Neodiprion lecontei: one gene and its partner. The protein of the gene in region 1 binds, or shares a complex with, the protein of each later gene. Links are inferred from orthologs where the notes say so. Each region holds a gene or a part of one and is shown in the gene's direction. Other genes may lie near its edges.

What was found. The genes of interacting proteins can lie anywhere in the genome.
Region 2: DNA polymerase alpha catalytic subunit (region 1) and DNA primase small subunit share a complex: the UniProt entries of both Drosophila melanogaster proteins name them as parts of the alpha DNA polymerase complex. The link is inferred for Neodiprion lecontei from reciprocal best matches to the Drosophila melanogaster genes PolA1 and Prim1.

Annotation. Positions count from the first base shown.
Region 1 is NC_060264.1:15,990,469-15,995,494, forward strand, and holds the start of DNA polymerase alpha catalytic subunit, read left to right. Parts: upstream 1-2,003; 5' UTR 2,004-2,292; coding exon 2,293-2,308; intron 2,309-5,026. UniProt on the Drosophila melanogaster protein: Catalytic subunit of the DNA polymerase alpha complex (also known as the alpha DNA polymerase-primase complex) which plays an essential role in the initiation of DNA synthesis.
Region 2 is NC_060261.1:38,830,954-38,835,439, reverse strand, and holds DNA primase small subunit, read left to right. Parts: upstream 1-1,678; 5' UTR 1,679-1,929; coding exon 1,930-2,032; intron 2,033-2,153; coding exon 2,154-2,304; intron 2,305-2,526; coding exon 2,527-2,702; intron 2,703-2,782; coding exon 2,783-2,981; intron 2,982-3,089; coding exon 3,090-3,300; intron 3,301-3,390; coding exon 3,391-3,772; intron 3,773-3,849; coding exon 3,850-3,869; 3' UTR 3,870-3,972; downstream 3,973-4,486. Other genes in the region: uncharacterized protein LOC124293032, read right to left, coding at 1-296; uncharacterized protein LOC107219690, read left to right, coding at 4,274-4,292. UniProt on the Drosophila melanogaster protein: Catalytic subunit of the DNA primase complex and component of the DNA polymerase alpha complex (also known as the alpha DNA polymerase-primase complex) which play an essential role in the initiation of DNA synthesis.

The DNA of each region.
Region 1 (5,026 bases):
CAGCACCCGGATTTTGAAAATGATATCATGCGAAAGACTAATAGAATTTCAGATACATTGTGGTGCCAATCGTTTGCGCGTCGTTTGCGCAACCAGCAGCACGAAATAATTTAGCAGAAAATATGAAAAATGACCAGTAAAAGAATTATTTTCTCTAATATACCCGGAAATGAACACGGGTAACTAACAAAATAATGAAGTAGATATAAATATTGCGAGAGGTATTGCACTAGGTCTTGAATTAATTCAAGCAATATGTTTATTCTCACTTTCAGACGCTACCGATTTAGCAGTTTTTTGCTCTTCGGTTATACATCCGGATTTTTCCTTCAGAATTGCTGACATTTTTCACACAGTTAATTAAAATTTGATTTTTCATTGGGCTCGCTAGATGATGCTTATGATGCTTAGGATGTTTTACGCATCCTCTCGATGCATTGTTGGGAAGAACCGAAGAATCGTATTGTTATGATGCTTTCTGAATTTCTCTGGTAAGCTGAGCAATGATTGGCTGTTGCAAGATTCTCTTACGCGGCAGCACTGGCAGCACTGCTGGCTTATCCTGTACAAGGTCCCTAGATTAGACAGGTCAAGACACGTGTGTTCCAGTTTTTCTCACTATAACGTGGGCAAAAATGTTCTATGCGCGTTCGCCCAAAAAATATCAAATTTACATTACCGCATTAACCAGTTTTGACCAATCTTGCTCAATTTTTTGAGGTTCAGCATTAACGAGTTGCGCCCTTCGTGTCCTGACGTTCACGAAATAAATAGAAGCACGTATATATTTTGAGGTTAATCATTGTGACAGGTCAGGAATCAGAACCACACCGGGTGCTTTCCATTTAGAGCACAGTGTGACACAGTGTACAAATTTCTATTGTAAGCGGCCAACCCGGGCAAAGAAATAGACCAGAAATGTTTACACCGTGTCATATTGTGCTCTAAATGGAAACCATCTATTGTCATACGAAACTTTTGGCGCATTCTCACTAATTATTTTGACCATGCGTGTCTTGACCTGTCTAATCTAGGGACCTTGATCCTGTACATATAGGCCGTGTTCGAAAATTGACTGACAGTACTGTCGGCAATCTTTTATCTCTTTTGCCCTTCCAAGTTCGTGAATAGCTCTGATTCTGTCCTAGGGAATTTTCAGTACTGTCAGTCAATTTACGAACACGGCCATAGGGTGCTATTTCGGCCGTGTTCGAAAATTGACTGACAGTACTGTCAGCCATCTTTCACCTATTTTGCGCTGCCGAGTTCATGAACAGCTCTGTCTCTGTCCTAGGGAATTTTTAGTACTGGCAGTCAATTTACGAACACGGCCTTCATGAGCAGTAAAAAGCAGCAGTGGTTTAGTAACTTAGTAGTTTTCACTAGCATCAGTCTGGTAATTTTACGCAGCAGCAGCGCTGCTCATGAAATAGGTCGACTGTTCTTGTGATCTTGTGGCTTGTCGCTCGAAAAACTAAACTGCGAGCAGCAGAAACTTGCGCCGGAAGTGATAGGGGAAAACTGCTGCTGCTGCTGCCTTTTACTGCTCATGAAATAGCACCCATATACGTTGGGTGCTTTCCATTTACTGACTCAAGTCGACTTGTGTCGCTATTTCTGGTGTATTCCTTTGCCCAGATTGGCCGGTTACACCAGAAATAGCGACACAAGTCGATTTGAGTCAGTAAATGGAAGGCACCCATACATGTTCTAACCAGAGAGAAACCTTTATAAGGTCCTCCGTCAACGACTTGAATTCTCTAGCTAAATTTGTTTTAGTAATAACGACTAAACCATTGACTATCAGACATGGGAATACATCATCAAACATCAACAAACGACCAACAAAGAATTAAAAAGAAATCAATTTATTTGGGTGTCAATGACGGCCTAAGTATAGGTATAATATTGACCTGTTTTCTACCTGCTTCTCTTATTAGTTTTAACTTGACCCGTCAGGAGGCAGATCTTTCTTTTTCCATCTTAACAGTGTAATGAGTGTTGGTAGTATTCTTACCATCTTTTTCAGTGGTTGGCACCTTGCGGCAATTTTCCCGCTAATTTTACTGTAGTAGGTTGTGAAATTTTGTTTACACGTCGGTGCAGTTGCTCGGCTCTTAGCAGCCACGTGTTTTATAAATCATATTTTCTGCTTCCCTCCTGATCTGTGGTGTAGATTATGATTTTATGATCTTCTTATTCGCTCCATAGAACGCAGAGTGTTCCGTTGTGGAGTGTTAGTGTTAGCTTTATGACGTTTGGATTGTTCGTTTGTTTCGCTCTTACATCAGCATGGATGAACCTGCATGTAAGTCTTTCTAATTTAACGTGCATTTTTCAATGTCAAGTCGTATTCCCTCGACAAATAATCCATTTTAAAATTATTGGCTTGACGAAGATCTATAGATATCCTAAAACCTTATTATTGTCAATCTCGATATCGTCACATATCCATTGCATTCTTTGTCACGATTAATGTCACCGGTGTCACCTGTTATAACTCGCCCCATACTAGCTTAGAGACCACTGCGATACCATCGGATTATGTGAGATTGAAACTCGTAACGTCAATGTGACCATGCGATTTTGATAATTGCTATTTCGCAATTTGAGGATGGTCTGAAATCCGGTAAACTGTAATGGAGCATCAATTCACTCATGTTTTGCCCATTCAAGTCCTTCAAAGATATACCGAAGCTATAGAATGGTAATTTTTCTTTCGACATTATTTGGTTATCCAAATGTTACAAATTTCGGTCTCATATGCAAGTTATGGTCAGCTTTTGTGAAGATCTGCAGTTTGATAACTGTGGAAATACGTAACCTTATGTACATAGTAAAGGGGATGCATTACTGATCCTACAAACTTTTTCTAAAAATACAATATTTTGACCACTAATAAATTTCTAACGAAATGAGTTTTTACCATGCTGTTTGAATCGACTGTATTCCGTATCTTGTATCTACCAATTATTAGTCCTACTAATATCGAGATTTTTTTTTCATAACCTGCATTATACAACTGCTCTACTAAATACAAATTTCAAAATTATTATAATAGCATAAGGGCACGAGGTCGAAGTTAGTCATGTTATCGTGATGAAACATTGAGACAAAAGTTAATATTTTACTATTTCAAAATAACTTCTAAAGGAATTAAGTTTCCAAAATATGAAAAAGTTTTGCTTCAATGCGGCTTATGAATTCCTGGGAAATGCTCAGGTTATGAAATAATAGTTTTTCTTTTAAATGCTTCGTTAAGTTAGGAATTTAATCCCATGATGAAAAATGATTGTACAGAACAATTGATTTGTCATCACAGACCAAGTATCGGGTAATACGATTTTAAAAAAACTATTGGCCATAGAACGACAAAAGAAACTCCAATTCATTAAAATGTAATCCACTTTCGCTGGTTTACAAATTGTTGAACCAATTATTTCACAAACAAATACTCAAGCTGTGTTACTCCAAGTTGCAACTCGAAACACCACCTTGGATTAATTATTTTCAAGGTTTCTGTGATACTTTAAATTTTACTTAAAGGAATGCCGGACACATGTAACGTATTTGCATTGCTGAAGAACGTTAACAATTATTTTCGTTTTTTTCAGTAGGGTAGATGCGCCGATAGTTGGTCATCTTTGCATACCGTAATTTTCAACACACAATTTATGTATTGGGGGCACAAATTAATTCGGTCCGTTCTCAAAAGATGGATCTATAAACGTGGCTCTAAAAACATTCAATTTTTAAGTAGTAACAGCTGATTGCCCTGGTTTTAGACAAATTGGACACCTGCCGATAACATCCAGTTTGTATTGTTGTGAGTTTCATATAAAACGTTTTTTGTTACGCTGTTGAAAATGTCACTTTTTTTGATAACTGAACACCATTTGTGGGAAGTTTTAATTTTTTGTTTTAATTGGAAAAAAAGTTCAGCTAAAGCTCATCGTATGCTTGTGAAAGTTTACGGTGACAATGCTCCAACTGACAAGTCACGTAGAGAATGGTTTTGGCGCTTCAAAAGTGGTGATTTCAGCGTTGAAGATAGACCTCGCTCGGGACAGCTGAAATTCGTAGACGATGAATTACAGGCATTACTCAATGAAGATCCGAGTCAAACGCAAAACGAGACTATAATTACTTCGTTTGAACCGTGCATTACGAGAAAAACGACCGGAATATAAGGAAAGACATGATAAAGTTTTTTGCATGACAACGCTCGGCCTCATGTCGCAAAAGTTGTCAAAAAATATTTAGAAACGAACAAATGGGATTTCTTACCGCACGCGCCACATTCTCCGGACATTACTCCTTCTGACTACGGACTGTTTCGACGGATGCAACACGATTTGGCAGGTCACCGCTTCACTTGTTTCGAAGAAATCGAAAATTGGCTTCAAAATTGGGATTGCCGCAAAAGACGAGAAGTTTTTCTTACACGGGATTCCGAAATTGCCTGAGAGGTGGGGAAAAGTTGTAAGCAGTGATGGACAATATTTTGATTAATTTGTTAATTCATTATCTTTTGAAATAAATGCATTTTTTGAGCGAAAAAAACGGACCGAAATAATTTGTTCCTCCAATATAACTATACAATATGAATTTAAATAATGATGAATGGAATGATCAGGCGGCTTTCTTCAAGTTCAAGGCTTTCGATGTGCAATCAAACAAGTTTTTTTTTTTCCATCCGAACTACTGCGTATGACACAACCTGCTACGCAATGTTCTTCTCCCACCCTTAATGCTTAATGTATTATTTTTTGCAGTACAGATTGTTGTACAAAATATAAGTCACATCTATCTTAGCAAAGATTACAAATCACAAAAGCATACAAATTTTGTTTAAATTAAGCATAGTATCGATATTATTTTGGACTAAATTTGTAAGTGGCTGACAACTGGAGGTGGCTGGCTTACCTGTGCATCTGTCTTATGATATCCGTGAAAACAAGCTCTGAAAATAACAAAATATACGTAATTCATACAAAATTTGAAAGACAGGGTGGCCACCCGTCTG
Region 2 (4,486 bases), on another chromosome or scaffold:
GTTAATCGAGCTTCCGTAGAACAGTTCTTGGTCACGAAACGACTGTAGAGCTCAACGACGTCCTTCGCGAGCTGTGCGAATTCAGTGTATGGCATATTATGCTCATGAGCCCAGATGAAAATCGACCGAATATTATTAACCGGCATGATCGTGCTGGATACGAAGAGGACGTGGCATGTTTGACACCGTGAGAGAATATCGACGTTCTTTCGGAACTTCTTTTCGCTGAATTTGTTCAAAAATACAATTACAAGAGTTCTTTCGCTGAACCTTTCCAAGAAAGCACATTTTTCCATATTTGTACACATAATGTAAGGATAAAAGTTGAGCAGCGATTGAGCTTTACTGCGATCATTGGCGGATGCTCCGACAATTGTTATATGTCGAGGCTCGCTTTTTTCCACATAGTGTTTCAACAAATCGACAAAAAACAATTCCAATATATTGTTCAAATTTTTCACGATCAATGTTTGACCTCTCACTGATTTGGTTAAACTGTGTACTTGACAAAATAGTATTTGAAAGCACAATGTTTTTACCACCAAAAACTTCATTGCGCAGTAATATTAAATATTTAATTCTTCTTTCCAAGCATCGAACGTGATTTTGTTAAGTCACAAACTTGATTAAACCTTGGGTAACTGCTTTGTCTTTGATGCATGTGTCAAGTTTCATACCATGGTCGTACGTGCAAATTTGAAAGTATTCTTTGATTTTAGAAACACAGGACAACCCATTTTTGCGTTCCAGTATCCACCAGAGAGTTCCATCTGATTTTGCCCCAACTTCATCATGCCGCGAAAGCTTAGGGTCAACTTTTATATGTGAGTAAAATTTGTAATCATCGTTCAAAATCCACTCACGAGAGACGAGGGGCATTATAAATGACAGCAGTAATGAAATATGAATTCGGTAAGTCGCATTTAGACTGGTAGGTGATTGAAGAACACACCTAATTTGCTGTTTATCGGCGAATCTCGGTGTGTTGAATAAAATATTGAATCGCTATTTTACCGAAAATGTAAACAAGCTGTTTTGAACAACTCCTGCATCAAACTTATAAATACGTATAAATATTAATTCGTGACCTATAAAATATCGCCGTACCCATACTGTACTCAAAAAAATTTGACATTTTTTTGAAGGGAGTCGAATACGATTAGCGAAATTGATGTAGCCTGAGTTTACGAGGTAAGGTGTAAAAAACGTGTAATTACGATTGAAATGATTTATGGCAAAGTACCGACGCTTTGGTGATATGATATATTTTATTCATAGAATTACACGCACTGTTCATATCCAAAATACGTATAAACATAAATACGTCGTACTACAATGTGACCTTGTTGTCAAAATATGCAGTTATTATCCAATTACGTCTGTGGATGCATCCGCATTGTGTAAAGAAAGTAAGCTTAAAATACACTGTACTATTATAAATATATTTTGTTTTATGATAATTTAAAACAGTTACTTGGCCATAGATAGCAATTATAATTTTAATATGTGAGATATTTGACATGAACGGTTGGATGTGCCTGCCAGGGATTAATGAAGGTAAAGTCAGCTGCTTTTGAGGGCGAAAGTTGTGATCTCTGATTGGCGCAAATGGATCATTCATCTGAATCGAGCCAATTACGAGTCGACAATTCGTAACAGTTAAGATTGTGATTGACAGATCGCGTTCAGGTCGAAAAACCTGCTAGGAATTGGCGCGAAAATAATTCTGTCAAATTGCGTGTACACATTGTAACATTTGTAATCCTGTTGTGTATTTAATTTGTGGCAGTGTTCGTGAACGTGCGAAAGAATTTTGACGGAGTTTAATTTTCAGTCCTGTGATTGAATGATATCGTGAGTAAACTGCTGATTGAATGCAGAAGAAAAGATTCGATACGACCGTGCAATAAACGCGCCTAACCTAAAAGGATGTCAACCGAGGGAATAGAGAATCTGATAGATCTTTTGCCTCTTTACTATCAGCGGCTTTTTCCGTTTCACGACTACTACAGGTGGCTGAGCTACGGTGATCGTAAGTTAACTTGTCAATTTTAGCCGCAGGCTTATTATTTCTGTAGGAGGGAAATTTGTTGGTCTTTCTTTTAATTTTAATCCAAAGTCTTATCAATGGCGGTACATCCTTTTCTTTTCAGCCAGCGTCTTTTCACGCAGAGAATTTTCTTTCACCGTAAGAGATGACGTCTACATACGATATCGTTCCTTCGTTAATCAAGATGAACTACAACTGGAATGCAGACGACTCTTGCCGTTTAAAATTGATATCGGTGCGATATACAATATATGGTAAGAACCGAAATACCTTGGTCTACTTATTATTTAAATTCAACAATTCAAATTATGCCTGCTCGTTGTCAGATTCGTTTTTTACTCAAGCTCTCCAGTCTCATAATTCCAAAACCAAAAATTCTTCAATCTTCCATTATTTTTATCCGGAATTTTCCAGTATTTGTTTTTTTTTTACGTCAGTAGAAATAATAATCGATGTATTGATCGACTTCTCTTTAGCCCAAAAGATGAGAAGAAATTTTCAAGTTTTCTGCCGGTAGAAAGAGAACTTGTTTTTGATATAGATATGACGGATTATGACGATGTTCGAAGCTGCTGTTCAGGCGCCGACATATGTACAAAATGCTGGAAGTACATGGTGATTGCCTGCCAGATATTGGACTCCGCACTTAGAGGTAAAGCACTGTCAATGACTAATGTAAAATGATTTGAAACTTGAAGTGATAAATACCTAAAACTTGAAATTTAATATCAGAGGATTTTGGCTTTGAGCATCTATTGTGGGTATTTTCTGGAAGAAGAGGTATACATTGCTGGGTGTGCGATAAATCAGCTCGCGAGTTGAATTCGATGACCCGCGGCTGCGTTGCCGAATACTTACAGCTTATTACTGGTGGAGAACTAAAAGCCAAGAAAGTCAACTTTCCTGGCCCAAAATTACACCATTCTGTGAGGTCAGCGTGTAATCCGTTTTGGATGCTTATGAGTTCTTGATTCTTCCATTTGTGATTTGCATTCAAGAATCTGTTAGATCAGATGTTTATTCATTTTATATCTTACAGACGTGCACTAAATATTATAGAACCACTGTTCGTATCAATGTGCGTCGAGGAGCAGAATATGCTCGGAACAGAAGAAGGTGTTGCCAAATTCTTACCACTTATTCTTGACGATAGTTTAAGATCCCAGGTCAAGGATTTATTCAAAAAACATACATCTAGTGTTGAGCGTTGGGAGGCCTTCACTGCCTGCTACCAAGTCGAGAAACAAACGGTAGGATGATTACATTTTGTACAATGTAGTATCTTCAATTTTCTTGATGTTATTAAAAAAACTCATTTCCAACTTTCATCTTCTTTAAAGGGTAAAAAATGGCGTCTGAATCATCTTCTGGAGGAAATAATGATCCAGTACGCGTATCCGAGATTGGATATTAACGTGACCAAGGGAATGAACCATCTTTTGAAATCGCCGTTCTGTATTCATCCAAAATCGGGTAAAGTCAGTGTGCCGTTTAGCCCAAAAGCTATTGGTAAATTTAACCCGTTAACTGTACCAACGATAAACTTGCTAATCGAGGAAATCAATGCATTCGACGCCAAAGAAGACTCTATCCAAGAATCAAACACTAGGAGAAAAATCAAGGACTATAAAAAAACTAGCTTGAACAAATCTGTTCATGTTTTTCAAGAATTTTTAAGGAATTTGGAAGATGCTTCAAAAGGACAGAAGATTTTGCAGAGTGGTAATTTTTTATTTTCTCGTATCTTTTGTGACTGATATAATATATTATTATTGTATAAATGTCATTTTATGTTGCAGATATGTTGATGGAGTTTTAGTAATGCAAACCAATAACTGTGAACTATAAGATGAAACTCGTGTTTTAATTTTAAGTAATCAATAAGTTTCGCTTACAAATGAAAAATAAAAGAAATAAGTACGTTTAATACGTTTATGAATGATTTTGAATTGCTCTTTCGCAACAGTTTAATAGATTACTATAAACGCATCTGAACCGCTCACAATCAATAATGAATACTGATTTATTTCAAAGAAGCCAGGTTTATTTTAAAGTGTACAACCAAGTGGCTGTTGAAGAGAATTTTAGTTATGCGTAAAAGAATCCATAGAAGCTTTATAAGCCATTATACAATGTACGTTACTCTGCAGTATGGCTAATAAAATTAAACAGAATCATGTCTGGCTTCCCAGCCGACAGATTGTCTGATTCGCTCTTCTGGATATGTTTTATTTGTTTTGCGGTATGTAAGATTAATTTTTATTTATGCAAAGTAGTGGTTTTTTTCGTATCAAATTTCTCGTAACTATCAAGCTTGAATAAATATAATAAGCATATTTAATAAATAAATATGCTTACTCGCAAACAATTCCATTTCATTTAAATGTTGATTTTGATCTGTGTTGCGACAGCTATAGAAAAATTGTTTTCTATGTA